Rhinolophus ferrumequinum: one gene and its partners. The protein of the gene in region 1 purifies or fractionates together with the protein of each later gene. This does not show direct contact. Links are inferred from orthologs where the notes say so. Each region holds a gene or a part of one and is shown on either strand. Other genes may lie near its edges. The genes, in order: PTPN2, KPNA6, KPNA1 and STAT3.

Region 1 (7,913 bases):
ATATGTGTGTTGCGATACATTAGCCACTAGCTATATGTGGCTATTGAACATTTAAAATGTGACTTGTGTCATCATCAGAAACTTCCAAACCCATAGAGAACTTTCATGAGTTTATTTGAACCAAACTGATGGCATGCCAGGAAGGAAGATCTTGAATGCTCTGGAGAATGACAGTATTGCAGTTTCTTTTATACATTCGGTATTAAGGAGGGAACTAAGGAAGATTACTTGTGGACAATATTATGTGCTCTTTTGAGAGTGGTGTAGGGGTTCAGAACGAGCCACCCCAAGATGTGCCTCAGTGGTATGTGGATTGTTTTGAGCTAAAGGAAATTTTAGCTTCAGTCTCGAGAAATTTCTGCCCCTCCCTTTAATTACCTAGAAAAACTTGAATTAGGGGGTCTTCTCCATAATAAGAGATTATCAGCAATAACTTTTCTTACCCTCCCTCCATCTGGCAGGGAAAACTTTTATTTACTAAACATTTGTTCTTCTTATAATCCTGCATTGACCCTTTGAAGCTTCTAAGGTGCGTTACCTCATTCCTGGATCAGGATGTCTTATATGCCTCAAACCTCCTTTCTATCTCTGAAGCTCTCATGCAAGTGCGGTCTCCGTCTTTCTCATGTATGTGGGGTTCCTGTATATATGTATGTATTAAATTTGGTTATTTTCTCTTGCTAAGCTGTCTCATGTCTATTTGATTATTAGACCAGCCAGAAGAACTTTGAGGGTAAAGGAAAGTTTGTTCCTCCCCCACAGTGGCTATGCCTTTGAGGGTCTGAAAAAAGAGGATTAGTGTGGATTTCAAAGGTGTGTTAACCTAGATGCACAAGAACAGTGGACAGGGCTTGCTTAAGGCAAAGATAAACCTTTTTATAGGCCCGGGACATGACTAACCACCAGGACCTGCCCAGTTAGGAATTTTATAATTAGATCACCTTGTGAGGTTACTTTCAGTCAGATTTATTACAGAACCCCTTTTTTTGTTCACACCAGTGCAACTAAGCAACTAAAATTTTAATTTGTTAAAGAAAAAAATATTCATGATGCTTGTTGAGGATGAGGTGAGGGAGACTTTATCCACGAGTGGAGGGGAACTATTGTTATGGTAGGTATAGGGACCATTGCAATGAGTCTTCTAGTGGAAGTGAGATCGGGCTTGTTAAAAAACAAAATTTAACAAAATGGTGTCACTTGTGCCAAAGCCCAAGATACCAAACCCAGATTTAATACCTGACCTAATTGCTATTTCAACTGTTACCGGAGAGTTGGCCTTCCTTGGCGCAGTGTCCAGGTTCTTGGCATCTCGAGCAAAGAACTGAATGAGATACCGAGGTAAAGTAGTAAAAAAGCAGTTTATTAGAAGAGATAGTACACTCCGAGGAAATGGGAGCAGACCCGAGGAGTAGAGAATGGCTCAAGGGCACAAGGTGGCATTATTAGGAGAAAAAGTACACTCCAAAGGATTTGGAGCAGGCTGAGCAAAAGAAGAGGCTCAAAGGCCCAAAGGCTCAAAGGCCCGAAGGTGGCATTATTAGGAGAAAATTATACTCCAAAGGGTTGGGAGCAGGCCCCAAGCAAAGGCAAAGCTCAAGAGGCTCAAAAAAGAAAAAAGGGCCTGACTGGGGAGGACTTGAAGTTTTTATTCTTTTTTGTCTAAACTGGGCTGCTCTTCCCACCCCTGCGTGGGACCACTTGATTGACACCTGTGATTGACAAGAGGCTATTATTACCTCATCTTTTTAGACTGTGCATGTTCTTTCCCAGAACTCAGTCTGTTATAATGAACTTCCAGGCGTATGTATGGTATAATGATAGTATAATGAAGCCAAGGTGAAATGAAGGTCATTGTGGCCTTTACTGCGCAGGTGCAAATGACTGGTCTAATCTAGTTGGGTATTTTGTACCCATTTGTTCCTCATAGGGGTAGATAATTACAATGAAAAGGGGAAGTTTTGGACAGAGACTGGAGGTCTTCTGGGCAGTCGCAGCCTGTGGGTTGTGTTGGACAGGCAGGAATGCAGAATCCCAATGTCTGTCTCTAACTGCCTGCCTTGTTTTCCCCTTGAGAGAAGTGATCCCCATAAAATAAATCTCTATGGGAAGTTGAGGAACAGGGAGTCTTTTCTTTTGTATCCACTCCCTGCTGGGCAGGGGTGTAGAACTGTCCCTACCTATTGGGGAATTCACGGAACTCTCGCCCTATCTGATCTTAGATGTGAGGAAGGGGTCTTGAGTCCGTCTGGAAGACCGGTTGGCTTCTCTGGTTGTGGCTGGCAATCTTGCTGGGGTATCCTCTGTATCCCCATGGCCCCTAAATGAAGAAAAGTAGATTTTAATTAATAAATCCATTAGCTCTATAGAGCCTGTGGCCATTCAACCACTCATTCAGGTGGTGTCAGTTGTCCAGGAGCTGGGCCCAGAATGTGCTGGAAAGAACATTAGGCTTCAATGATTACAATCAATAAGTATACTGGCCTGGAGGAATGTTAAAACCTATTTGGTCTCTGGGATGGAGTTATCCAAGAGTTAGGTACAGAATGGCTTGGGGAATGTTGAGAAGGAAGCAGGGGTTTTCTAGGATTCAGAAACTGACTGGAAGAGTAATCAAAACCAGGAGCTAAGGAGCTATGAAACTACATACGTATAGGGAAAAGGAGACTTAAAATTTCTATAGTGAGGGAGCTCTCCCATATCACAGCCTCTTCCGGAAACATAATCAGAGCTTGGAATTTTCTGGTCAGTACCAATGAGGTAATCTGTCAAGTGAACCCTCTCCATCCCTACACCCCAGAAAGAAGAGGCAATCTGCATGATAAAAATTTTCACCTTTCCCTTCATCCAGGAAAAAGATATCCTGGAGTGAAAATAATTCTTTCTTTTCTTTTAATAGCTCCCTTGCTCTAATTTCCTTTCTAAAAAACCTTCCATTTTGTACAACCCCTCAGAGAACCTTTCTAATTGCTAGATGGGATCCTGCCCAATTCATTAATTGTTTAATAAAGCCAATTTAGATCTTCAGATTTACTTAATTTTTAACAAATCCTTCACATTTCTTAAGGAGATATTATTGTGGGGACAGAGCCAGGAGTACAGTTTCCAGGCTCTCGGCCTCACATAGAAAGGTGCTGGCTCAGGTAGTAAACGGCCATCAACTGTGATTGGATGGCCATCAGCTGTGGCTAGTTGGCCGTCAGCTGTAACCAGTGATCCATTGGCCACTAATATAACTGCTGTGGCTACGCTAGCAGCAAATGGGGCTAGCAAGAAGATGGTGGCTGAGCTAGCAAGCGCGGATTGCAGTTAGCAAGTGAGGTTGGTTGGTTGGCAGAAAAGTGGACAGAAGGTTGCAGATCGTGTGGATCCTGTTTCCTGTGTCTGCAACCCAGCTGCCAGCAAGACTATAGTGGTATGACTCCCCTATCTATGGCTCCGTGGGTGTTCCTTTTTGGCCTCACCATATCTTGCGTTCTTATGTGGGGAGCGGGACCAGAGACCCTGCATGACACATGGCGCAGTGAGCAGGGTACGGTGCCGACCAAAGCTCTCCAAAGGGCAGTGGAGCAGTTTGTGTATATGAACACTCAGTCTCAGGAAGATCAGGAGGAGCAGCTGCTGGAGAGCTGGACCCCTGTGGAGGGATGGGAAGACGTGGATGGTTCTCTGACCAGCATTGGCTGGAGAAAGCAAAGGTCGTTGTGGCCCTGTGAGCTGGGAAGTGCTTGCTGAGGCCCTCACCCCCAGGTTGGGGAGGACTTGGAGACCTTGCCCTGCGGAGAGGTGTTGTGAGGCCAATGCGCAGCCCTGGGAATGACTATGGACTATTGGGAATTACCTTCCATCCCTGATTTGATGGACTGCTTGACTGTTTGCTTGGGAATGTACCACCCTGTAGTGGAACCAGTGGATGTTTGTGTGGGGACAGAGCCAGGAGTGCAGTTTCCAGGCTCTCGGCCTCACATAGAAAGGTGCTGGCTCAGGTAGTAAATGGCCATCAACTGTGATTGGATGGCCATCAGCTGTGGCTAGTTGGCCGTCAGCTGTAACCAGTGAGCCATTGGGCACCAATATAACTGCCAGGGCTACACTAGCAGCAAATGAAGGGCTAGCAAGAAGATGGTGGCTGAGCTAGCAAGCGCGGATTGCAGTTCGGACGGCGGGTTGCGGACAGTGTGGCTCCTGCTTCCTGTGTCTTCAACCCAGCCACCAGCAAGAATATAGTGGTATGACTCCTCCCCTATCTATGGCTCCGTGGGTGTTCCTTTTCGGCCTAGCCGTATCCTGCGCTTTTATGTGGGGAGTGGGACCAGAGACCCCGCATGACACCCTGCATGACAATTATAAACACGAGTTCACCAACAATGAATTATCTTAATCTGAAGTGAGATGATTTCTGTAACCAGTGCGTTTGTTTGGTAAACGGTGATACGCTCTTTTTACATTTTTAAATTGTATAACCTTTACTTAAGCTGTATTCTCCCTAATTCCAGGATAGGTTGCCTCTCCTTTTGTTATAGTGATGTGTCACAAAACCCCCAGGCATTAAGTAGCTGGCATCAGGGCTGGTTTACATTCTCTGAAAAGGCTAAGAAATTTGTTCTAAAGTTGGACACAGCCGCTTAACTGACCTAACTGATGTTTAAAATAAAATAACGGGAAAGCAAAAAGGAAGAAGGTTTTTAGGGTACTTTCTTGGCCTGCTCCATCCATGTGAACCTGGTATACTCCACACCCTCCCCGGGGCCATTTCTCTCGAGTCCAGCGAGCGGGCCAACTCCTGCCCAAGGATCTGAGACTACCGCCTCCAGGGTGATCTCCTTGGCTCCGCCCCTACCCACCTGGGCGCCCTCTGAACCACTCCTCCCGCGAGCGCCCCGCCCCGCCACCGGACCCTGTGACACGCCATTCGACGCGCTGACGTCATACGCTCCAGGTACTTTCCCCGCAGTCAGTCGGACTTGGCGTGGAGGCGGGGCGGGGCGCGGAGCGCGCATGCGCCGCAGCGCCAGCACGCTCCCCTGATCGTGCGGGGGCCTGAGCCTCTCCGCCGGCACAGGCTCCGCTCGCTCCAGCGGCCATGTCGACCACCGCCGAGCGGGAATTTGAGGAGCTGGATGCCCAGAATCGTTGGCAGCAGTTGTACTTGGTGAGTTGAGGGCTTGCGCGACAGCCGCCGTACTTCGCGGTGGACCCGGGCTCGCGCCCCCCAGTTCCCTTTAGCCTCCCCCGCCTCCCGCTCAGGGCGGAAGTGGCGGCGCGCAGGCCGCGTCAGGGCTGCGCCTGCGCCGACCGAATCTCTGGTCCCTTTTGAAAAAAAGACTTTAGATGGGGGGGTTCGGGGTGTGGAAGGGGGTGCCTATCTTAAGCGCAAGCGCAGTGTTAGTTCTGGAATGTGGCGCTACAGCGGCGCCTTGTGGCGGGCGTAGTTCTGTCTCTCTGTCCGCGGGCGTGGGGGGCGGGGAACTCGAGTGGCCAAAAGGCGGGTGGGTGAGGGGACCGGTGAGGCCCGCAGGCGATCGCGGGAAGTGGTGAAATCGCAGGGGACCGTGGAGAGGGGCGAGGTCGGTGAGGCATTGGGGTCTCGCAGAGCCGGGCAGCTGCGGCCTCACGCTTGCTTTCCCGCCCCTGTGCCTGTCTTTGCCCGCGGACACTTTTTTTAGCAGGCTGGGTGTTTCGTGGCGGAGCAGGCAGAGGCCGGCCGTGACACCCATTGCCGAAGGTGCTGCCAGCTCTTGCCTTGGTGGTTGTGGGTGGTACCTGGGCCTCTCGAAATGGTAGTGCCTAAACCGTAGTGCTGGCGAGAGCTCTTGGCGGATCAACAGTCTTGTTTCAGAGAGCCCAGTGTCTCAGCGTGTGGGTTGTCTTCCTCAAAGAGGTCCCAGGAACAAGCACCACCTAAATCAAAATAACCTTTCTGTCACCCCAGAAGGTGCTGTCATCCCCCCTCTCCGCCCTATAGGCCACCACGGTCCTGGTTTTTTATCACCGTAAAATAAACTTGCCTTGTTCTCGAACTCATGTAAATGGACTCATAGTTGAACTCTTGGTGACTAGCTTCTTTAGCTCAACTAGAGAACCTTTTAATTCAAACAATTTGATTTTATCTTTTAAAATGACTTAATTGCCTGTTCCCTACTGTTTAATTATTAGCTTATTATTCCCAAAATTGAATTGAGTGGCTGTGAGTTAAATGCTGCTCCTGCTGTTCGCTTCACTGTACAGGAAAAGAAGGAAAAATAAAGGCTTTCCTGTAAATCTCGATGGGCCTGGGTTTTCCCCCATACCGTTTAATTAGATGAAAGTAAAAAAATGTTTTCTTTGTCATGATGCTCAGAATGTAACATTTTCCTCTTGAACCCATTAGCTGGTAGTGAATACCTGGTTCACAGGGGTACAGAGTATGTTAGACTAGGGAACTAACTTTAAAGAATGCTGGTAAGGACTTTTCCAATTATAGAAAATTTGAACTGGAAGTTCTATTAGGAATCTATGTGAGAGCCTGCTAGCTGTGACATTTCCAGTGGTTTTTTTTTTTTTTTTTTTTTTTTTTAGCAGAGGCTACTGTCCAAGTTGCTAGTCATATGTACAAAATACAGATTTGAGAAGAGAAAGGTGAATGCTGCCAGTTAATTCAGCTTAACATTTTGGTTAAGCGGTTTGATTTTGTGGTGTGTGTGGGTGGGGGGGATAGTATCCTTGAAAATTCAATGAAAACTGTAATCTTTTTCATAAAAAAATGCACTTACAGCCACTGAAAATTTCATATTTAGTTTCAGGGAGTTCAGGAAACCCTTCCATGGACTCCTGCCTGGGAATCCTTTAGAGGATTGGTCAATGCTCTTATTATTTTCTTCTTAATGGAAGAACAAGAGTATTAGTTTGGTCAGGTCAGGGGAGATCATGCAATACACATTAGTGTTACAGTAAAAGTAGGTCACAAACGAAGAAAGTTAGTAATGGAAAGCAGACTTACAAAGAGTTTAATTAAGAGTGTTTTCTTTTGACTTTAGAGTATCCATATAGCCATTTTACCAATACATGCTGAGCACCCGTGGAGTGCTAGCCCCTGCTCTGGGTTTTGGAGATTCAGCAGAGAATGCTAGTGACAAAGTTCCTGTTCTTTAGGACCTCACATTCTAGGACTTGTTCTCTTGAGGGCTTCATTGCAATTCATTCATTCACTCATAATGCATCTGTTATGTGCCAGCGTTAGACTGAGTTCCTGCTTTCAAGGATACAGCCTAGTGGGGAGTAGTAAATAGGTAAGCAGATGAAAGTGTAAAAGTAATAAGTGCAATAGCTAGTGTTAAGCAGAGGGTGCTTTATTTTCCCCAAAGGGGTGCACTGGGAGTTCTGGTGAAGCAAGTGTACGCTGCTCTTTTAAGAATCCCAACTTGATGGGATTGAGTGGGGAAAGGTGGCTAAAATGAAGCACGACTATGTGACTTCTCTACTTTCCCATTGCTGGTAATATAAGTTTTAAACATCTCCTATGGCTCACAACACCACAGGTCCTGCCTTCCTGTATTTCTTCTCTCTTTTCCACTAGGTTCTGTTCCTTTAAATGTACATGTCTGTTCTTCCCTTAGGCCTTTATAAATGTAATTCTCTACATTATCACAACTTTTCCCCTTTTGCTTAACTGCCTCCTATTCATCCCTGAAGTCTCACTTCCTTAGGGGGTGCTTTCCTGACGCTCCCATACAGAGTATGACGTCTCCCCCCATATATTTCTGTAGCATCCCATGACTTCCCTTTTCGTAGCAGTGCATTAAGTCTAATGTAGCAGTAGATTTTATTTAGGGAACACAATTTGCGTTTCGCAAACTACTTTTTGCTTGAGTAGGGGAAAAGTGTTTAAGTGGCCTTTCTGCTTTGTATAGCACAACAGTGGGTGATACTTACGATAA
Region 2 (7,284 bases), on another chromosome or scaffold:
CCTGTCAGGTGCAGAGCTGAGCCTGACATGCAGGACTCCCATTTCCTGCCACTTCTCCCATCCTGTAAGCAGCTCTTGAGGTATCAGTACCTTGGCCCCTGCATTCTTTGAACTGATCAGAAAACTTTTATTGAGTCCCTACACTCTACGTTGCCCTGTAAACACCAGGTAAGAGTGAAGTGTCGCCATGTCCCCTGGAAGCTTCTGGCCTAGCTGGCGATGCTACACATGAAGTGGTAGGTGCTCAGGCTGTAGATTCTACAATAACCTTCCATGCCTATATCATAAGATGCTAATTTGTTCAGGCATTACAGTACCCAAGAAGATCATGTAGAAAAAGATGTTGATTTTAGACTGGAAAAGGTTTGAGAGCAGGCAAGACCTCTCAAGAAAAGCTTCCTGAAGGAGGTGGAGGTTGAACAAGATCTTAACTTATGTGGAAAGCGGTAGTCTTGACAGAAGGAACACCACAAGCAAAGGCAGAGGGGTGGCAAAGTCCATGCCTGACCCTCTGAAGTCTTTCTCCCCACCCAAATCTCCTTGGGGCCCCAAGAGCTTGTCCCCTTCAGTGGCCCACCTAGCCTATCCACGAGGCAGGTTTCAGGAGCCAACTTTCCAGCCTGTGCCTACTCTTTCCTGGGCAGTTCTTTTTCAGCAAACCCCTGCGGATCCTTAACATCCTGCTGCTGCTGGAGGGCGCTGTCATTGTCTACCAGCTGTACTCCTTAATGTCGTCTGAAAAGTGGTACCAGACCATCTCGCTGGCACTCATTCTCTTCAGCAACTACTATGCCTTCTTCAAACTGCTGCGGGACCGCCTGGTATTGGGCAAGGCTTACTCGTACTCGGCCAGCCCGCAGAGGGACCTGGACCACCGGTTCTCCTGAGCCCTGGGGCGACCCTGGGGACAACATCCAGGCTGCAGCCGGGAGTTCCTGGGGAAGGGGCTGTTGGGGAGGGTTGAGTGAGGGGCAAAAACAAAACAAAAAAAGACAAAAAAAATCCACCAGAGCTTTGTATTTTTGTTACATACTGTTTCTTTCTTTGATAATTGATGTGATTATGAGGAAAAAAAATCCTATTTTTTTACTCCCAATAAGTTTGTGTCTTGTATTTCTTTCCCTTCTTCTTGCCTATCAGAGCGCAGAGGTGTGGGATTCTGGGCCAGGAAGCCTCATGTGTGGCTTGTGGGGCCACTGTGGGCTCTGCCTTCTTCAATGGAGAGGAGAGGAGACACCCAAGGTCGTGGTCGCAGTGCTAGCTGCTTCTAGCTGAATGCTCACTGCGTACCAGATGCGATTCTATGTGTGTGACAGGCCTTGTCTTAATCCAGCTTTTGTGACAATCCTAGTCTATAGATGAAGAATGGGCTCAGAGCTATAGTGACTTGCCCAAGTTAACAGCTAGGACGTAGAGCTGGGTCAAAAAACCCTCCAAAAGACGACACTACTATCCTGGCAGGATGTGATGTCCTGATTCAGCATGCAGTTCCTGAGACCCTGCTCTGTGCCAGGCTTTGAGGTAGATGGTGAGAAAGCCAAGACAGAAACAAGTCCTACTACACTGAGATGGGTGTAACAGTTACCCTGTACAGAGTAGCAAAAGGGAAAGAATGTTTAATGCTCTTGACTTCTTGGAGGAGATAGCCTGAGTTGTATCAGCCACTTCCTAGGTGGACAAGAGGGAAAAGGCACTTCAGGGAAAAGGACACATGCAGTGAGTAGCACGGAGTTTTGGAATATCTTGGTGTCTTTTGGAAGGGAAGAGTAAGCAGAATGTGGTTCCTAGAGCAGGATGGATAAGGAAAGTGGGGCGAGGCAGGGTGGAGCTGGAAAGGTCTGCATCAGAGAGGACCAATAGCTCTAGACAAGGGAGGGTTTGTGAGCAAGGCCAAGGGCTAGAGTGGATACAAAGCTGCTTGGAGGGCCACCTGGCTCCTATGGGCATAGCAGGGGTGGGAGAGGAAACACAGTTACAGCCACTCATCTAGTCTACCTGTGTTCCCTGAGCCATTTTTTTTGGCCACAGGATATGCAGGTGAGTCCACAGGGTGTATGCGGGACAGACAATCCACAAATGTGTTTGGTGCTTCTGTTGAGGCAGGCATTGTGCTAGTGGGACAGGTAGAAAGATGAGGAATAATATCAACGAAAGAAAGTCTAAACCTGTAGAGAATTTTTATGAGTTTATTTGAGCCAAAACTGATGATAGTGCTGGAAAGCAAGATCTCAAATGCTCTGGAGAATGGCACTTTTGCAGTTTCTCTTCTGCATTTGGAATTAAGAAGGGAACAGAAGATTACATGAAGGGGGGAGAAAGCAGGGTACAGGATAGCTAAGATTAGTGCTCCCTTGAGGGCGGTTATGCCTCCGAGGGGTCTGAAAAAGAGGATTACTCTGGTGTTTCAAAGGTGTGTTAACCTAGATGCACAAAAATAATGGACAGGGCTTGCTTAAGGCAAAGATGAACCTTTTACTAAAAAAGTTGTATGCTTGGAGCTTGACTACCCACCATGACCTGCCCAGTTAGGAATTTATGATCAGGTCATCCTGTGAGATTACTTTTGCTCAGATTTATTACAGTGCCCCTTTTTTTTGTCCACAATACATACTACCATGTTTCCCCAAAAATAAGACCTAGCCGGACAATCAGCTCTAATGCGTCTTTTGGAGCAAAAATTAATATAAGACCCAGTCTTATTTTACTATAAGACTATAAGACCAGGTCTCTCTAAGATATAATATAATACCTGGTCTTATATTACTTTTTGCTCCAAAAGATGCATTAGAGCTGATTGTACAACTAGGTCTTTCTTATTTTCAGGGAACGGGGTATCTCTGCCATAGACAACCTTGAGAGAGAGACATATCTTATAAGCAAATTAGGATGCTAACTGCTGAGCAAAATGTGTGTCCAGGTCACTGGGTTGCAAAAATGAGAGATACCCCTAACTCTGTCCGGAAAGACAGGCTGTTTCAAGGAAGTGAGAAACGGTCTGGAAAGTGAATAGTTCACCCCACGGTCAAGGGGGAACGGAGGGCATTACATTCCAAGCAGAGGGAACAGCACATGCAAAGGCACAAAAGACCATGGGAGGAAATGATTCCATGATTCCCCAAATATGGATGGAGCCTGGGTTGCCTTGTGGGGAGTAGCCCAAGAAGCCAGTAAGGATCAGCCTGTGTCAGATTGAAATGTTTGGGCATTACCTAAGGGCAGAGAGTAGGAAGTTGCTAAACAGAGGAGTGCATGATAAGGTATCTCCTTTTAAAGAGATAATGGGTATGAGTGGGAGAGCCTAGAGGCAGGAAACCGGTGAGGATGCAGGCAAAATAGATCGGGAGAGGATGAAGAGGTCTGACGTTGAACAGGGGCAGTAGAAAGAGAAAGATAGTGCTTCCTTTTTGACCCTGAATTTTGAGTTGTTTCCATTAATGGACCAGGCACATGACTAGAGTTCGCAATTTATTGTGACAGGATCTGGAAGTCCAGGTCCCTTATTCTGCTTCCAAAAGACAGCTCCCTCTTGGGACCAGTGACTTGAAGATACAGCCTTCCTCTGTGTGTGGAAGTGGGGGACAGGAGAACTGGCCTGTCATACAAAAAGAGGCCAAATAGGTGCCAGCATAAATTCCGTAATTCAAAAGATACATGAACACTCGGAGCTTCAATTTCTTCAACTCAGAAGGGAGATCATTTCCCATGCTTCGTGTAACTCACAGGCCTGTTCGTTTTGTTTATTCATTCAACAATTATTTATGGAGCACATACTATGTGCCAGACACTGTACTAGGTGCTGGAGATAGTGATGAACAAATACAACACCAATCCCTGCTCCCAGAGAGCTTGCTGTGAGGATAAACGAAATAGCTCTGTGAACTATAAAGCACTGCAGCAGTCTTATTATTTTTCTACTTTTCATCTTCCAATAAAACTGTAAGCCCGTTTACTCCTGACTTATTTCCTTATCTCTGTATCCTTGAGCAAGTCACTTCCCCTCTTCAGATAATTCCTTATACATATCCAGCTGGGTCTATGATTGGCATTAATTACAAAAGTAAGGATTGCTTTCTGAGAGAAAACGTTTCTAGTCTATTTCCTCACTAGAGGCAGAAAACGCTGAGAATTAGGCACACTTTCTTTAGTAGGTAATCCCTTTCCTTCCTCCCCACCCAAGTCTCTCTCCACCCATCCCTTTTAGATCCCACCCCTATTCCCCGCCTTTTTAGCTGCGGTCTCTTTAAGAGCGTTCCTCTGTGTAAACTAGGCTGTGGAGCTGAGAGCGCATTTCTTCCCGGGGTTGAATGTTAAGTTGTTTGTCCGTTTCGGGCTGCCGTCTTGCAGGTCCGCCATATTGTCTGCTGAAGCTGCCGCTGAAGCTGCCGCCGCTGCCGCCGCCAAGTAGGAGCGGAGCCGCGATGGGTGAGTAAGGGAACCAGGCATCTGGGGATTCGAGTTGAGGCCGTCTTGAGGCTTGGGTCTGGCGACAGCCTGTCTCCAGTTTTCAGAGGATGTCTGAGTCCCCTCCAAATAGGTTTGGGGGAGAAGCCAGGCCGGGAGTGGCGCTTAGGCCAGTTTGGGGCCGGGCTAGGGCCCATGCGGGGAGCAGTCCTTGGGGGCTGGTTCTGGGAACACGTCGCCACGCCTGGAGCCCCCACGTGGTGTCCCTGGGCCAGAGCCCAAGCGTTCCCCGGGGCTAGAAAGGGGCCGACCCTCCGGCCTGCGCCGAGACTGCGGCCGGGAAACGGGCTCCCCGCCGCAGGCCCGGGCGGCGCCACGGGATCCTCATCCAGGCGTGTGTTTGACCGACGCGCATCTTGACTGGATGCAGTGGCTCCCCTGAACTGAGGGAAATCCTACCCACGTCGCGCTTAGAGTCCTCTGGTGAGGGGACGCCAGGCAAGCCAGCTCCAGGCCCGTAACCAAGGGCAGCCATGCTAAAGACAGCCTGGGCCGCTGAAGGCTAGAACTTCCCCAGCCAAAGCAAAAATAGGGTGGTTCGGTTAGGTTTAGAGTGACGGCCTTCATAGTGGTGGAAAACCAAAGGCCCAGACATTGTGGCCGTATATAGGTCGGGGATTTAAGGTTTCTGGGTCTGGCCCTGGTTGGGAGAAAAGGAGAGACCTGTTGCTTGCTCTTTCTGAAGGGACTCCGGCTGGCCAGGCTTGTGTTAGGGAAGAATGCAATGGAGAAGTCTTTGGATTTAGGGGCAGAAACATTAGTGGTATTTCCTCTCCAGCAATAAAAAATATCAAATTTGCTAAGCTCTTATGTGCAGACATTGTTCTGAGTGCTTTACATGTTCCGTTTTACTTAATATGAGCCGCCTAATGAGACAGATACTGTTATCCGTATTTTACAGATAAGGAAACTGAGACTTAGAGAGGTAAGGTAATGTACCCAAGGTCACACAGTGCCTAAACCTGGGTGATCACTCTAAAGCCCTAGTTTATAGCCTGGCCCCCTAGTGGTTGGGCTGGAAAAGGGGGGAAGAAAGCTTTTAACCCTAGGCGAAGTTGTAAAGGTGGTGGGTTTTTTTGCTTTTTGGTGTTTTTTTTTTTGCTGGTGGGCCCACTTTGAAGTCTTCAGTCTGAACAAAACTGGAAAACTGCAGATTGAATTGCTAACCCCAACTGTTGTTTGTGGGGGGGGGGGGCGGAGGAGGAGCTAAACGATACCCTGGAATTGAGTTTTGTAAGATCCTGATTCTGAGGAAATATTAATTATTCCCTTGAACAGCAAAGCAATGATTGTAGAATCAGATCTGGTATTATAAACCTGTCTGGCACTTCCTAGCTCTCATCCAGAGAAGTCACTTAGATAAATGCAGTAATACATATGGAAAGCACAACCACGACAAGTGTTCGTTCTTTTTCTTCCTTTCTGAGCCTTCCATGCCCTCATCTCTAGAAAGAGGGAAGGGCAGTGTTATCAAGGTGTTTGAGGACTAAAGATAACACAGTGTTGGAAGGTTAGGGTTAGGGTTCTATAAATATCAGACCAGATTGTTTACCTTCAATAATGTTAGTTCCTTTCTCTTAAGTACTCTGGTTTCCAGAATCTTCCATTAAGACTTACAGGTCTGTCTTTGTAATTGCAGCTTTATGTATCAGTGAAAAAGTTTAGGGCTTTTATGTTACAGATTTTACACTGGCCTTCAATTTCAAGAACACTGGTACCTCAAAGGGAGGGAGCTACTAATATTTAGTTTGTTGAGTTCAGTGAAATAAATCTGGTACAGTTTACTCAGTTTTTACAGATTGGGAAACTACCTCAGAGAAGATAACACCTAGTAAACAGTAAAGTCAGAAATGAGATTCTTAACCATTTTGCTGCACATAAACCTCTTGGAAGACTTAAGGTGTGAAGTAAAGTAGTCTTTTTCTGGTAGACTTTGAAATGAAAGTTCTTAAGTGGAGCAACAAAACCTGACCTGGGTCCTGATGGGGATTTTTAGTCTAGAGTGGGGTGGCCTCCCTTTTTCTCCAGCTCCAATTCAAGTACCTTTCACATCTCACCCTGTCATTCTAAATGTCCAGCTATTGGTGGTTTTGTTGTTTTTTGTTTTTAGCTGATCTTTATACCATGGGAGTGAAACTAGTGTAAGGATACATTTAAACCTGACAGTGAATCCGAGGTAGTTTGGGTTATCCTCATTTTTAAATGAGTAAACTGAGGCTTTGAGATTGGGTGACTAGTCCAAGGCTGGTGATCTAGGCCCTTTGGATCCTGGGGACACTAACACGGCCTGCACCACATCTACATGAATCTAGAACCTGCTGTATTTCACTGTGTCTCAGGTGTACTCTCCTTGAGCTCTGGCCTATATCCTGTGCTATTTCTCCTGTGCCAGACTTCACTAGCCTTGACAGACCTTTATAATGATTTCACTGCCATTAGGAACCCCGTGGAAGTAATCTTTGCAGCTCTGGAAGTTACTTATGCTAACCCTCCCCGGCAGAGACCACCGCCTCTCAAAACTAAGTCTTGGCAGACACTGGTGGTTTTATCACCATCCCTGCCACCTTGCTAATCAAGAATCGGGCAGCCCCTTCCCAGCCCCAGGGGCTAGGTCTTGATTAATATAAACTCTAAACCAAATCATTGTAATTCTGTCTCCCTGGGCAGTGATTGATTTGGGCATGGGCATGTGATACAGTTCTGGCTAATGAGATGTGAAGGGAAGCCTGGGTGACTTCTGAAAAAGCCTTCCTTATTTAAGAGAGATTTGCCAAGTTTTATTATTTTTTGCCAGCTTATGTTTTAATTCAGGTATCACCAAAA
Region 3 (7,282 bases), on another chromosome or scaffold:
AAGAACTGTCCCAATTAGTCTACTACACTAGGTCAGAACCATTTTATCACTTAGGTCAGTTTTGTAGAGTTGGAACATCTTTAAATAAAACAAAACGAAATAAAACTGTACTGTTCCATCAGTCTTCATCCCTGCTCTTTCACTGCAGGGCCTCAAACTTTTCTAATGCAGGCTCTATTTGGCCCCTCAGTGGCCTAGGGCCACCTTCTGCTTACTGCAGCAAGAATACAAATCAGCCACAACAGCTAATTGAATTGTTCACCATTTACAATGTTTTCTTCCATAATTATGGCTGAATTCATAATACCCTGCAAAGTACAGAAATCTTAAAACAAAGATAGTAACGGAATTATCTTTATCACTAGATCAGTCATCTTTACATACATGGACCAAAGTCTTAACTGATTTTATACAAAAGTCTTAATTGATTTTATACAAAGTATTCATATATACTTCTAAAAACAATCTGACAGAGATAAAATACAAACATCATAAATCATCAAGACTTCATCATTAATTCAACAAACACTATGCCTAAAACATTGTAAATTAAAATAAGATATAATCCCTACTTTCAAATAAAAGGGAAAATATAAAAACAAAATTGATAGCAACAGGGAACAAAGAAAATAATCCAGGAAACAACACAGAGCAATTCCAGACTATCTGGTATAATTGTAACATAGTTAAGGCTAAGGAAAATTATAAAAATTGGACACATCTCTGACTCTCCTCACAGCCAAAGTGTAAAGAGAAACACCAACACCTACAAAACACAAACAATGTAATAAAAGCAGCCGTTTGTTTTTTGTTTGGTTTTTTTTTTAAAAGGCTCATCACTGGGGTCTTAAAAAAACTGTCTCAAAGTCTCTACTCTGTAAGAATAAATAAAAAAAATTAGAAACAGTGTCTTGGATGGCAATGAAGAGTTTCATGTTGCCTTTTCTTATGTATCAATCCTAGATAGAAGTCAAGATACATAATATTAAATCATAGCTTTGTGAAGAAACTTCCATGAGGACATAAAATAACATAATGCAAATATACTGACTTCAGATGAGGCATTTAGTTCTATCATGTAGTTTATTCTAGGTTTTTATAAATGTATGTTTTGGTTCCCTACTACTGTAAACTCAAGGCTTATGTTACCTGATTCTATTTGAACTTCCTTTGCTATTTAGGAGAGTTGTTTACAGTTTCTGCTCAACTATAATGACAAATGAAGTGTTATGCAGTGTTTACATTCGTTATTTGTTAGTCTTCCCCTCTACACTATAAATTATATGAGGACAGGAAGAGTGTCTTAACCATGTCTTGTATCCCCAGTGTTGGGGCACATGATCACTCCATAAGTATTAGCTGAATGAATGGGTTAAATAAAGAAAACACAACCAAGAGGTACGAAAGGAGATAAATAATTTTTTAAAAGTGGCAGTAACTTTGGGTTCTAAGGCTGGTTCCAACAAGAGCTGGATGACCTTAGGTAAGTTCTATTTCTGCAATCGTCCAAGTTTTCATCTGTAGAACAGGAAAAATTAATATCTACTTCAGAGTTACTGTAAGCATTAAATGTTTTAATATAAAGTATTTAGCACAAAACTTGGAAAGGAACTCAATGAATGTTAATTCCTTTACTTTTGCTCATGTCCCCCAACTTAAAATCAGGTATTACACATAAAAGCGCCCCTTCCAATAATAAATTATTACAGTAAAAATACAAGAGAGTTCATTTTCACTTTTCTTTGAAAAGTTCAAATTTCATCTCTTCAATCTTTAAAATGGAGGGGGAATAACCTGTGGATTACTTTCAAAATATCACAAATACAAGAACAAGTTGAGGAAAAAACAATGTCAAGAATGACTCTTAAAGCAACAAGAGGGAGCAAAAACATCCTTCATCGGCTAGAAACAAGTTTTGAAGAAACTGTTTTATTAAAGAAAAAAGTAATATTATTTAATATGTTTCAGAAGAATCCTGCAAAATTGTTTACTTTTAATTTAAACCTTAAAAATCAATTCTTGTGAAATCTTTCACTTACAAGTGGGATGTTAAATGCTTTCATTCAAACCTTAAACATTCCTTCATGACGACTGCCCTGACTCCAGCCATCCTCCAGTTTCCTTGTCTCTAATACTTCGCTGTTTCCCTCGAATCACCACTTACACACGCAATGTGCAGACTGAGTTCTGTCATTCCTATAATTACCACACCCCTGTCAGCCGCTTCAGGCCCATGTTGTTATGACATCTGTAAACTGCAGTCGTTACGTCTCCACCCCCGCCTCCACCTCCCTCCAAACCACCGGCTCCGGCTCCGGCTGTAACTTGTGAATTCCCAGACCGTCCCATCCAGCCTGGCTTAGGATTTTCGCACGTCCCCCATCCCTGCTCTTTCCTGCCTCAGTCACAGCACTCTGCGCTGCGCACCCCGTCCCCCACCCGCTCGCTCGGGGCCACAGCGCAGGCTCCGCGCTCGCCTCCTCTCCGCCCCGCTGCCTCGGCGCCCCGCAGTCACCGCCGCCGCTTCCAGCACCGCCGCCGCCCCGCCTCGACCGGCGTTCCCGATGGCGATCACATCAGCGCTCCCCCCCCCCGCCGCCCGCCCCAGTCACTCCGCCGGCCGCGCGGCCGTTAGGACAGCCGGGCCAGTGACGCACCGACGCGCCGCGAGCGCCCGGGCCCAGGAACCCGAGCTCGAACACGGCCGGCGCCCTCCCACGCCCCGGGACCTCTCCCGGGTCCCGCCGAGGACTGCCGGATCCGCCGGCGGGAGGGGGAGGGGCCGGGGCCGCAGGGGTCCCCGCACTCACCAGGCTAACGGCGGGCGATCCCCGTGCCACTGCTGTGGTGAGCCGCTTGCTCGCTCGCCGGCCGCAGTACCCCTCGCGCACACAACCTCGAAGAGCCGGCGAGATCCTTGGCCGTGCTCACCAGGCCTCGCGATCCGCCGCCGCGCAACCAGCAGCAAGACCTAGCTCAGCCGGCGTTCGCAGTGCGTCTGCGCACGGGGGCCGGCCCTCGCGCCTGCGCGCGCCCCTTCGCTGCCCTGATACAGAGGCTGCCGGGAGATGTAGTCTTTCAACCTTCTTTCGGTGGAACCTCTCTCCGTTATCCCAACCAGCTGAAGAGTGGGAGGTCGAGGAGAAGGTCTCGCTGAGGAGGTTCGGAGTCAATTGTAAAGGTTGTAGAGTTGTGGTGGGTGGAGTGACCATTAAACGGTACTTCTTAGGTTGAATTACGAAGTTAAAGCTATAAAACCTGTCGTCGAAGCTCTTCCAGGGCGGATCGATCCCTTGCTCATCTCTATCTGTATCTAGCTTCCGGTAATGCCGTTAGTACCTAATATATTTTTCTTTTCTTTTCTATGGCTGGCAACAATGATAGCCATCTTTTAGGCATTTGTTTAAGTAAACTATCTCCTTCCATTTGTATAAAGTCAAAAATTTCATTAAATTCTTCCGTACATTTTGAGGACGCTGAAATTGACCAAACACTTTCATTATGAAAACCTCCGTATCACAGGTAAGCAAACCACACCCTTCTTTTAACAGTGTTCTGTATAAGGTGTTTGTTTAGCAGATGACACCCTTTCATTTTCTTTGGTAAGAAGTTTAGACTGGATAGAACTTGTCAAAATTAACATTCGCACTGAAAGCAGATAAATGAGTCAATTCTACTTTGTCTTTGGACAAGATGTAACACCCTTTGGTTTATGTGTTGTGGTTTCATTAAAATCTTAATAGACATCTTGAAGACAATTTGAAACTTCACTTTTCAAGTCAAATTACCTTTAGAGCTAGAGGGAACATGTTTTTGAATCAGGAAATGTAACCTCTCTCACTTCCGTAGATCAATCCAAGGCATGATACAATAATGCATATTGGTTCATGTGACATGCCCAAGATAATTCAGCCATTATTTTCAACTGAGCATGGGTGTCTCTTGAGGAAACTAAAAAACTTTTGAATTTAAAGTACTGTCTGTCTCATTCCAGAGTTGTAAACTGATTTACAGGGGCTTTCACATCCCCTCTCCACCATGCCCAATCCAAAATACTTCTCTACGTATTGTGCAGTGTGTTCTGTTTTTTCCTTCCTAATCTAGTTATATTGTCCTTCCATCTCTCATTAACATTACACAGTCATTTATATTTCTTTTTCAATGATGTTTGGGTCATGCTGTTGTTGGTATTATAATCATTCTCATTCTCATTATCTTACCTCTTATAAGGCATGGTTACCGTATTCATGATGCTAAAAAATTCAGTTTATACGAAGCACAACGATTAATCCACAGGCAAAGCCAAAGATGGACTGCTAATGCTTACGACTGCAGTGCACTTAAATTGCACACTTAGGTCACCTCCCTCAGAACGCTACAACAATTATCATAATTGTGAAATGCAACTCAGGGTTATCAACATCAATGGTCGGGGACAAAAACAATGATGGTGACTATAGATAGAAGTCAATCTATGGTGTGTCCATTCGACATTAAAAGCAGTGTTGCTTTCAGCCCCTATTTTGAGGGGGCAGTCATGGATTTTGTACTTTTCCCCTAATCTCCCACACCCATTACAAGAAGACCAAGATTTTTGGCGTGAGTGCTGGGAAGGCTGCCCAGGATGTGAGAATTTTGGTGCTAAATCCCAGAAGGTCGGGCAAATCAGGATGGCTGGTCACTCTTTCCCACCTGTACTGGCCAGATGGATCCTCTTCATCTAGCCAGTATAGCCATTCCCTTACCTGCTGTGAGTGCTGGCTGATAACTGTCAGCTGCCCCCTTCTCTGAATTGCAGACCCCAAAGGAGCCAGCTTTCTAGAAGGCTCCCACTCCCATCCCCAAGGACAGGTGTAGTCCAGTAATTGACAGAGTTCAAAGGGACAACCCTTGCTACAGAATGGGACTTACTCTAATGGTACAATTTGTGCTCTAGAACTTCCCCCTGGAATCAGACTGAAGCTTTCCCCTAACCCCATATTCCCTGAGAGTGCTTCCTCAATAAGTCACTTATTGAGAAGAGTGGCTCAAGAGTGAACAAGAATCCCCATCTCAGGCTCTGCTTCTAGGGAACCCAAACTAGGACATGATCCAAATTTGTTTTCCATTTCCTTAACCTGTTGTCCAAAACCACTTATTGAGGTTGGTCCATTGTTTTCCCAGTGATCTGCAATTTTACCTCTGTCATTCATATAAATACACATATTCAGGGCTCTATATTGAGAAAAGTATACATATAGATAGTTACATGACACTCAGAAAAATGAAAAGATCCAGTGAGCAAAACTGCAAGCATAAAATAGCAGTTTTGACCTGAACGTGAAAACTTGAATAAGAAATCAATTGTATTTTTTATCACATAAATTCTGACTTTTAAATGGTACTTAGCTTCTCATTGCAAATATTTGCAGGAAATTTTGAAATGTACCATAAATATATTGACACCATAAAACCTGCAATGTGAAAATGTGCATCATAAATATCACAGAATATTTATGTATATTTATATAATTTATATAGTATATATAATATGTAAACAAGATATATATGTATCTTGAATATACATAGTTATCAACTTTATTTTATATATATTCAATATATAGAGTTACGTATCTATTTTGAGATATATACATTCAAGATACCTATATTCTCAAATTTCCACATTAGCGCAGGTCTGTTTTGGAGGTTTCTATTTTACTCAGCTTTTTTTGGTCTATCCCTGCACCAATAACACATCTGAATTACTGTAGTTGTATAAGTCATGATATGTTATAGATCAAATCACCTTCACTTTGTTATTATTCTCTAAAATTGCCTTTGCTTTTCTTTGGCCTTTTTATTAAATATAAATTTTATAATAACTCCATCAATTTCTATGAAGAAAATCTGGCATGATTTTGATTGAAATTTCATTGAATTGATATGATTAATTTTTGAAGAATAGCCATCTCTATTATATTGTCTTCCTCTGGATGAGGAGATAGTATACCTCTCCATTTATTTAGGTCTTCTTTAATGCCTTTCAGTGATGTTTTGTAATTTTTTTCATGAAGTTTTTATACGTCTTTTGTTAAATTTATGTCTAGTTACCTTATTTTTTTTTTTGCTGTTGCTATTGTAATGGTAAAAAATGTCACATTTACTGTTTCTCATGCATAGGAATGAAATTGATTTATGTGTAACTTCCATGTAGAACCTTGGAGAATGCTTTTATTAATTCTAATAACTTGTCTTCAGATTTTCTTGGATTTTTCTATAGACAGTCATATATCCTGTGATTAATGACATTTTCATTTCTCTATTTTCAGTCTTTTTTTTTTGGTTTGTTCTTCTTTTACTGTCTTTGACAGAAGCTCTAATTCATTTGCTAAATTTAAGTGGAATAGGAAGCATCCTTTGTCTCATCCTGATTTTGTAGGGAATCGTTCTAATGTTTTAACATAAAATATGATGTTTGCTCTAAGTTTTTGGTACAGAATCTTTTATAAATTGTTTATCAAATAACTTTTCTCTATATATATGGAAATGAGCATACCATTTAATATGTAGTTGAACAACAACTGCTTGAATTGCGCAGTCCACTTATGTGCAGACTTTCTTTTTTCAATAAATACCTGTTCTGTTTTCCATACGCAGCTGGGAGTCCGCGGATGCAGAGGGTGAACTGTGTACATTGATCTATGACATTTTATATAGGGGACTTCAGCATCCCAGGATTTTGGTATCCGTGGGGGTCCTGGAACCTACCTCCACCATGGTTACCGAGGGACAACTTAAGTCTTTGGGGAGTTAGAAATTATATGCTGATTTTTGACTGTGCGGAGGTTGCCACCCCTCCTAAATCTCATGTTGTTCAAGAGTTGGCTGTAACTACATGGTGATTTACATTAATAGATTTTTCTAAAGTTAAGTTATCCTTGAATTTCTGAGATAAACCCAAATTGACCATGATTTATTTATATAGAGATAAATTATATTTAATATTTTGATTAGGATTTGTGCATCTATGTGTATTTACATAAATGAATGTCTATTGTTTTTCCTGTTGTATTTTATGTCTGTATTTTATACTGTTGTCTATCTTTGGTATCAAGGTTGAACTAGCCCTGAAAATTTTGGGGGGAGTATTCCTTCTATGTCTGTTCTCTAGAAGATTTAATATAAGATTGGAATTATCTGTTCTTTGAAGATTTGGTAGAACTCACTAGAGAAATAATTTTAACCTGTTGAATTTACTTGTTTAATTGATAGGTAAGTTTTCAATTACTAATTCAACTTATTT
Region 4 (7,934 bases), on another chromosome or scaffold:
AATCGCTGTGATGGTCAAGGGAAGAAAGTCTAGGGGTAAGGAGGGCAGTTGATCATCAGTACCAGATCCTAGAGCAAAGATACGTAAAATGACTGAGAATAAGACATCAGCTTTGAGAAGGAGGAGGTCTCTGATGGTCTTCAAGGGCACTGTGCTGTGGAGAGAAGAGAGCAGAAGGCACCCTGGTAAAGCTAGTGAAAGTGAGGGCATGAGCACCATGATGGGAAAGAAGGGCGTAACTTGAGGGTCAAGATAGAAAGGAGGGAGTATCTTAGGAGCCAGAAGGGAGGAAATAAGTGGGGAAGGTCAGGAGGGAGAGAAGAATTGATAAAGCTCAGAGAGGGGACAGGTAGGACCAAGAGAACTTCCATTCATTCAATAAGTATTTATTTAGTGCCTGTTTCCTGGGCACTGGGGAGACAAAGGAGCACCAAACAGGCAAGGACCATTTTTTGGAACTGACAGTATAACGAGGAAGAAAGAGAAGAAACTGTAAACAGATAAATGAGAAATATAATAAGAATTCCAGAGGAAACAGCATATATAGAGATTAAGGGGCTGGGAGCAACTTTAGGTGACAGTAGTTAGACAAGGACTCTCTGAGCAGGTGACACCAGAAGGGTGAGAAGAAACTAGTCATGTGAAAGCTGGAGAAAGAAAAAGTATGGCGTGTGCAAAAGCCCTGAGGTGGGAAATGGACTGATTGGAATTTAGTGGGCAGAATAGAGGTGTGGGGGGTTGGTGGGTGGGTAAGCAGGTACTGAAGGGGATTAAAAAAAAAGAAGAATTCCTGTATCCTAAGCCTCATGGGAAGCCACTGACGGGACAGAATGACATCGTATGAATGATATTTTAAGCCGGAAAAGAGCTTAGTGTTGAAAATATTGAGTAGGGAGGACTGTTCTTCAGACAGGAGGAAAGGGAGATGCTTACATGATGATGCCTGAGAAGTGTTTTTGCACAACGAAAGTAGAGATTCAAGGAGTTCGTGTTGCACAGATCTGCTCCTCTGTGATTTTAGTGAGGGGGAGTTGGGCAACCCTGTGTGAATGAACCTTTCTGTTGCTGCGCCCCGTGGGGGTCCCATCACCCACACAAGTTGCCCGTTGCCCCTTTTGGTCACTGCAGTGATTGCCACCTATTTACCGCCTCCAATGTTCTTCTCCAAATCTTCTCTTTCTTCCCATGTCTTTTTCTTGATTTAGAGTTTTAGTACTAATTCCTCCAGGGAAGAGGAACTAAATAAAACATTTCTAGAATTTTACAAAGCCCGGTAAGTCTCAATTCCTGATCTAGCCTATAGTTCCTCTGAGTCTCTCTGAGGTAATAAATGGAAACCTATCCTGACTACATATTGATGTGTAACAAACCACCCCAAATCTTAGTGGCTTAAAGCAACGACAACATTTATTTTGCTCATGAATTTGTAATCTGGGTAAGGTTCAGCAAAAAAGTCTCTTCTCTTGGGGTGGCCGGTTAGCTGAGTTGGTTAGAGCATGATGCTAATAATATCAACATTGCTGGTTTGATCTCTGCATGGGCCAGTGTGAGCTGTGCCCTCCCCAACTAGATTGAAACAATTACTTGAATTGGAGCTGATGGGTCCTGGAAAAACACATTAAAATGAATAAAAGTTTTTTTTAAAAAAAGGCTCTTCTCTGTTCCATTTGGCCTCCATCGGCATGGTTTGAATGTTGGGGGCTGGAATCAGCTGGAGTCTGGCTCATTCACAGTTGATGGTTCCTATCAGCTGGGTCTTAGCTGGACTCTTGGCCAGAACACCTTTGTGTGGCCTCCACGTGGAGCCTGGGCTTCCTCACAACATGGCGGCTGAGTTCCAAGGGTGAGTGTACCAGGAGAGAGTCAGGTGGAAGCTGTATCACCTTTTATGACCTAATCTCAGAAGTCAGACAGCATCATTTCCACTATATTCTATGTATTAGAAGCAAGTCGCCAAGGGAATGGAGCTAGACTTTATCTTTAGATGGGAGAAGTGTCAGATAATTTGCGGACATGTTTATAAACCACCACAAACTTGCAAGGCTTCTGCACTCTGCCTTATTCACTTGATGGGTGGAGAATGGGGGCCTCATCTTTTCCCCTCCTTTAGACCCTTCCTTGAGGATCCAAGAGGAAGGTTAGGCCTGGAGATATGGTCAAGGAAGAGCAGTTATTCAGGCTTTCAAAGTAGACACTTGGATTTGAATCTTGACTCTGCCATTTTTACCAGGTATATATATGTGGGGAAGTCACTTAACATTGGGTAAGCCTCATTTTCTTCATTTGTAAAATCACAGTATCCTCCGCATGGGGTTATTATAAGGATTAAATGAGTTAATACATGTGCTATATAATACATACTTAGAGTACTGGCTAGTACACAATAAATACTCCATACGTGTTAGCTATTGCCCATATGAGTGTTCAATACATGTTTATTACTATTCAATTAAATCAGGCTTAGGTGAGTTCTGGGCTAGATGTCACATGCTTTCAACTATGTAGGCAGAGAGGCCAGGCTTTGGAGTCAGCCAGACTGGATTCTCATTCTGAGTTTACCTTTAGTTTCTGGCTATGGGACCTTGGACCAGTCTTTCATTTTCTCAGCCATAGTTTCTTCAGTTGAAAAAAAGAATTATAATAGTGCCCTACCTCACTAGATTCTTGAGGATCAAATGAGATCATCTATGTAAAAACCTTAGCTCAATTCCTGGAACATAGTAATTACTTAATAAATGTTAATCATTAATTTTATTTACCAGGAAGTAGGCTAATAAATGGGGCTGAGGTGGATAGGGAAACTAGAATAGGGAAACAACCTGCTAAGGGAGCCCAGCAGAAGAGATTAACTTTGACAGGAAGAATCTCAGAAAGCCCAGAGGAAGAAATATAGGAACTGAGCTTTGAAGAATGAATAAGAGTTTTTCAGGTAGGAAATGGGGAAAGAGAAGATATTTTAGGTGGAAGGGAGATCTTTAATGGCATGAAGCTACAGAGGTGCTGACATGTTTGGAGGAAGGTGATGAATTCAGTGTGGGAGGGTAAGGTTTGTGGGATGGAGGGGATGAGGCTGGAAAGGGGAGTTCAGGTCAAAGCATTGGCTCAAGTGAAAGAAACTGCCATCTGTAAGCGCAGGGGGATTGGCAGAGTGTGGAGAAAGGCCAGTGGCGGGGCTGGAGAGAGGTTTTGTAGGTGGAACAGATAGGCTCAGGGGTAGATTTTCTGTATGAGGGAAACAAAAGCCAGCTGCTGAGAAGGCAGGAGAAGAGGGCAGGGTATTAGTAGATGGAACAAAGTCATGAGATGTGAAGCTCAAAAACCTGGCTCTGGTATACCTCTGAGTAGCTCCTGACCTGAGATTGTCATACTATTTTGGCCTTAGTTTCCTATCAATAAATAATATGGCCTCTCCTATCTGCTACACATAATTATTGTGAGAAAGAAAAGAGGTAACGAGTGTGCAAGTACTTTGTAAGCAGTAAATAACTAAAGAAATGTTAGACCCTATGTTATTAGGGAGGCTGTCAACTGCATGGGATAATACAGCTAAAGCAGAGTTTAGGTGAGGTGGATCACCTCTCACTTGGATATAAATAAGGTGGTAGAAAGGTCCAAATCTGGTCTTTGACTGGGCTTCAGTTATCTGGGGAACCGTGAGAATTTGTGGGTAAAAGTGTATACTGTATATTTCTAGGGCGAGAATCCAACAGAGTCCAGAAAGATCTGTGACCCTCTCCCACCACAGGTTAAGAGTCATTGATTTTTCTCACCAGAAATTAATAAGAATAGCTATCCTTGGGGAGAAATACTGGTGGGGGAAGGAGGGAAATTTTCATTTTTAATTTTCAACTTTTCTGAACCGTTTGAATTTTCTAACCACGAATATGTGTTAGTTTCATTGAAAATAACTGTCATCAGGGGTTATCTGAGTGGTAACATAATTAGGCCCTTTTAAGATTTCATCTTTATACCCCTTTGTATTAAACACTCACAACAAACACAAAAACAATAGCTGTTATTAAAAAGAAAAAACACCTGATAGTATCAGCGCGCGCACACGCACACACAAATTACTCCATCATGCAAAGTACATCCTCTATCATGTAAGGTAAAAAAATATCTACATTTTCTATAAACTACTGGCTTCAATGCAGTAAAACTTGGGTTCGCGCTCAAGCAGAGTAGGCGAAAAAAAGGCAGGCAATTTCAACTCAGAAGCATAAAAATATGTATACGTGTCAATCTTCATATGTACTGTCTTCTGCATTCTCGTGAACTGGCCAATGTGCGAACAGTGGCGTTTGATGCTTAAAGCGACGCAACCGAGAACAGGGTTAAATCCACTACCCTCTCCCCACGCACTCTAGTAATTACTCTATTTCCACGTCATATTTCCGGGTGTGTGTGTCCCGTCTCACGCAGAAACTGCAGTTCAAAGCTGGCGGGAGTCACCCATGTTCTTTTTGCTGTCTCCAGAAACCCAGTTGAGGTGTTGGGCCCCGAGGACCTGGCGATATTTTAGGACTGTCTAACTGGCTGATTCCCACGTGGTTAGTGACTCCCAACCTCGCCGCCACGTGGTGTCAAGGGCCGGGAAAAGGGAGAGCAAGCAGATGAGAGCCGCATCAGGGGCATTTAAAGTGTCTTGACGTCACGCACTGCCAGGAACTCAGCTGAGTTTTTAGCAGGACATTCCGGTCATCTTCCCTCCCTCCCCCTGAGCTTCTGTGCCCGAGTCCTTGGCAATTCCCCTGCTGTAGTGGAGGGAGGAGCACTAAGCCTTCGGAACAGCCATCAAGGGGCGTTCCCAGCCTTGTGTGACCCGCCCTTCCTTCCAGAAGCTGTCCTCATTGGTCAGTGGGTGGGGCTTCGGATGTACGTACATGCACCAGGGCCTCTGGGTGGCTGAGAAAACTGGCCGTCTCATGAATTATGCAGAACGGCGTGTCGCGGCCAATCTGGGGATGGGCGGGGATTGGCTGGAGGGGCTGTAATTCAGAGATTTCCGGAGCTGCGGCGGCGTAGACTGGGAGAGCCTGGGGTTCCGACTTCGCGGCGGAGGGAGTGAGCCCGAACCGATCCTTGGCTAGCACCCCCGCACGGCGCGCTCTCTCAGCGTCTGCCAGGAGAGACCCAGTGGACCGAGGGAGCCCCGCGGCTCGCATCCCGGCGCAAGCGCACCCCGGCCTGTCGGGCCTCAGCCGGAGAAACAGGTGAAGGGGGTGAAGGGTGGGGCCGTTCTCCCCCTACGGCTCCTAGGCCTGGGGACCCCGGGGGCACCGGAGTGACCGGAGTGACTGGGGTGTTTGGGGGAGTTGTGGATCGAAACTTCAGTGGGGCAGGAGGATACAAAGAGACACGGAGAGTCGCTCTGAAGGGACAACTCCTAGGGATGACAGGAGCGGGCCTCTGAAGGGACAGGGGGCGCTGGAAGGAAGTTTCGTTCTTCAGAGAAGGGGGAGGCGCCGAGGAAGAGAGAATGGGTTCGAGGGGGAGGACCGTGGGACAAGAGCACTCTAGGGTGGGGGTGGCAGGAATGAGGGACAGCCCCCCGACTTCCTGCTCTCTGGGGCTCCGGGGACGTTCTGGCCACAGGAGCGACTGTCACGCCGGCGGAGATCACGGGGAGGTGGGGGGGGTTGAAAAGAGCCTTCCCCCCCAGCCACTTCCTCGGCCTTGCGGTGTTCTCGCTCCTTTAGGAGCCAGCTTTGCCCCTCTGGAGGTAAGAATAGGTGTCTTCCCCCTACCGTCTCACGAGCTGGTTGGTTGTGGGTAGGATTATTGCATAAGAATCAAGTTTCCTGTAGGGAAATTGGCAGTCTTGTGCACTCTTTCTAAATTCCCTCCCGTCTTTTACAACGTTAAGCCCTGCTTCCCTCCGCCCCCTTCTAAAACAAAATACCCCCCCCCCCAATCAAGCCAGCTCTAGAGAGAAATAAACCTCTTTTCTCCTTGACATTGTTCTTTTATAAACACCTGGTAAACTCGGCCAGAAGATAAATAATTGAGACCTTCCGTTTACTGGGTTGTGGTGTTGCTTAATTGCATAGGGCAGAATGCACCAATCGAGAGTGGGAGTTTTCTGTCTCAGAGCCAAGATCTTGGGTAAATGCAGAGGAGAGGGAAACAAAGACAGGCTGGCCTTGGTGAAGCCATGTGTGCAAACTTTACCTGTGTTTGGGGTGTGTGGTTGGTCTTAAGTTAGCAGAATTCATACTGTTACTCAAGTTGCTTTTTCCATGTTTAGTACACATCCCTCTGTGTTTATATCAAGTGGGTGTATGGTGTTGACAACACTTCTTCTTATTAAAAATGTACATAATGTGTGTCTGCTGGTTTTTATTGTGTGTATCTAAAGGGTATATTCTGTAAATGGGTTGTAACTTTTTGGCTAGTTGTGCTGATAAAGCATTGGTTTGAATAAATCAGAATAGTGAATCATCTCAGTCTTTTAGATGTGGATTTAGATTGTGTTATGACTTGATTCAGTCAATTTTATATTTTATTTTATATTAAACATCTGTGTTCCCTGAATCAATACATTTATTTCCTTATTACATGTGCCAGAGTACTAGCAGAATCTGCTGGAGTACTAGCAGAATTTTTGCTCAGATATTTGCATAGTGGGATGGGGGAAAGAAACGTGAAATACAGAAAAATTGTAGAAGATGTTGGAGGGTTGATCTTAGTCTATAATTTGTTAGCACACCTTCCACAAAGAACTATAGCAAATTTATTAATCTTTTAGTTTTATATGTAGTTCTTTTGGGAAGAATAATCATTTAGAAATATCCACAGTTATGACTTGACCCACAAGGCATAGATAGTTCCTGTAACATTAATCCTATTTTGTGGGTAAGAAAATTGAGGCAAAGAAACAAGATACTTGTCATAGTGGTGGAACTCACACCTGTACATTTTGTGCTCTTTTGACTATCTATGCTTAAATATTTGGTCTTGATTTAGAGTGAGTGTAGTCCCTGTTGGGAAAGCTGTCAGTGAAATTCTAACATATATCTGGACAGTGAAATACCACCAATAGGCTGTCCTACCCCATAGGAGATACGTAATAAACAGGAGAAAAAAAGTACAAATAGGGTTCGCTTAGGTTATTTTTCTATCTAACTGTGCTGTTTAACTTGGGAAGTAACTAACTTTTTAGTCACATCATTTACCATCAGAATTTAGCTATTTGCTAATGGAAAGAAATATTTATTTAGGCAAGTTTGTAGATGGACAGTCGTGGCCTAAATGTTATTTAAACCAAAGTGCCTTGTGGCTTGATCAGTGGTCATTTATGTCTCCAGAAAGTTGCTTTCTCCTCCCTGCCTGTGCCTGTCTTGACATTCAGATGTGAGATGAGGCAGAGGTAGTGACTATTCCAGACACAGTCTAGCACATTTTCACCTTATAGTTTTCTCAGAGGTGGTGTACAAATATTTACTTTTTGCAACTTAGTGAAAGTTGCTGTGAAGATAAGATGCCTTGTTGACAGAACTTGCAGTCTACTGAGGTGACTTGATAAATGTTTTATCCATACAATGCAACGTGTCCTCAAAGAGATGATGAGACATTAAGCCTATGATCTCTATTGTATATTAAAAGAAAAATGAAAACATATAGCACAGGCATGGAATATATCCATTATCGTGGAAAGTTATTTTGGAGAGTGCTGCACTAAGCGCTACAGGTTTTAGAGGAACGAGAGGTCACGAGACCTGGAATTATCTAGGAAGTCGTCTTGCCAAAGGAGAAATTTCATCTGGGTCCCAAGTAATGGTTGGAATTTGATAGGTATAAAGAATTAGGGGTGAGGAGTTTTGGTGGTATAGCACAAACAAAATCCTGGTAGATTAGGAAGGTAAGTAGGAGAGAAGGAGTGCCTACTTCTAAGAGGTCCTGAATGCAAGACCAAGGATTTTCAGTTTTGACTT

Evidence for each region.
Region 2: the proteins of PTPN2 (region 1) and KPNA6 purify together in Homo sapiens (affinity purification with mass spectrometry; 3 studies listed by BioGRID and IntAct, with this or other methods). This does not show direct contact. The link is inferred for Rhinolophus ferrumequinum from reciprocal best matches to the Homo sapiens genes PTPN2 and KPNA6.
Region 3: the proteins of PTPN2 (region 1) and KPNA1 purify together in Homo sapiens (affinity purification with mass spectrometry; 3 studies listed by BioGRID and IntAct, with this or other methods). This does not show direct contact. The link is inferred for Rhinolophus ferrumequinum from reciprocal best matches to the Homo sapiens genes PTPN2 and KPNA1.
Region 4: the proteins of PTPN2 (region 1) and STAT3 purify together in Homo sapiens (affinity purification with western blotting; 7 studies listed by BioGRID). This does not show direct contact. The link is inferred for Rhinolophus ferrumequinum from reciprocal best matches to the Homo sapiens genes PTPN2 and STAT3.

Annotation. Positions count from the first base shown.
Region 1 is NC_046302.1:5,383,291-5,391,203, forward strand, and holds the start of PTPN2 (tyrosine-protein phosphatase non-receptor type 2), read left to right. Parts: upstream 1-4,903; 5' UTR 4,904-5,080; coding exon 5,081-5,149; intron 5,150-7,913. UniProt on the Homo sapiens protein: Non-receptor type tyrosine-specific phosphatase that dephosphorylates receptor protein tyrosine kinases including INSR, EGFR, CSF1R, PDGFR.
Region 2 is NC_046292.1:22,040,765-22,048,048, forward strand, and holds the start of KPNA6 (importin subunit alpha-7), read left to right. Parts: upstream 1-4,278; 5' UTR 4,279-4,304; coding exon 4,305-4,422; intron 4,423-4,745; exon of another isoform or gene 4,746-4,884; intron 4,885-7,284. Other genes in the region: TMEM39B (transmembrane protein 39B), read left to right, coding at 645-887. UniProt on the Homo sapiens protein: Functions in nuclear protein import as an adapter protein for nuclear receptor KPNB1. Binds specifically and directly to substrates containing either a simple or bipartite NLS motif.
Region 3 is NC_046285.1:47,276,068-47,283,349, forward strand, and holds the start of KPNA1 (importin subunit alpha-5), read right to left. Parts: upstream 3,008-7,282; 5' UTR 2,811-3,007; intron 1-2,810. UniProt on the Homo sapiens protein: Functions in nuclear protein import as an adapter protein for nuclear receptor KPNB1. Binds specifically and directly to substrates containing either a simple or bipartite NLS motif.
Region 4 is NC_046304.1:38,168,576-38,176,509, reverse strand, and holds the start of STAT3 (signal transducer and activator of transcription 3), read left to right. Parts: upstream 1-4,927; 5' UTR 4,928-5,213; intron 5,214-5,701; exon of another isoform or gene 5,702-5,722; intron 5,723-7,934. UniProt on the Homo sapiens protein: Signal transducer and transcription activator that mediates cellular responses to interleukins, KITLG/SCF, LEP and other growth factors. Once activated, recruits coactivators, such as NCOA1 or MED1, to the promoter region of the target gene.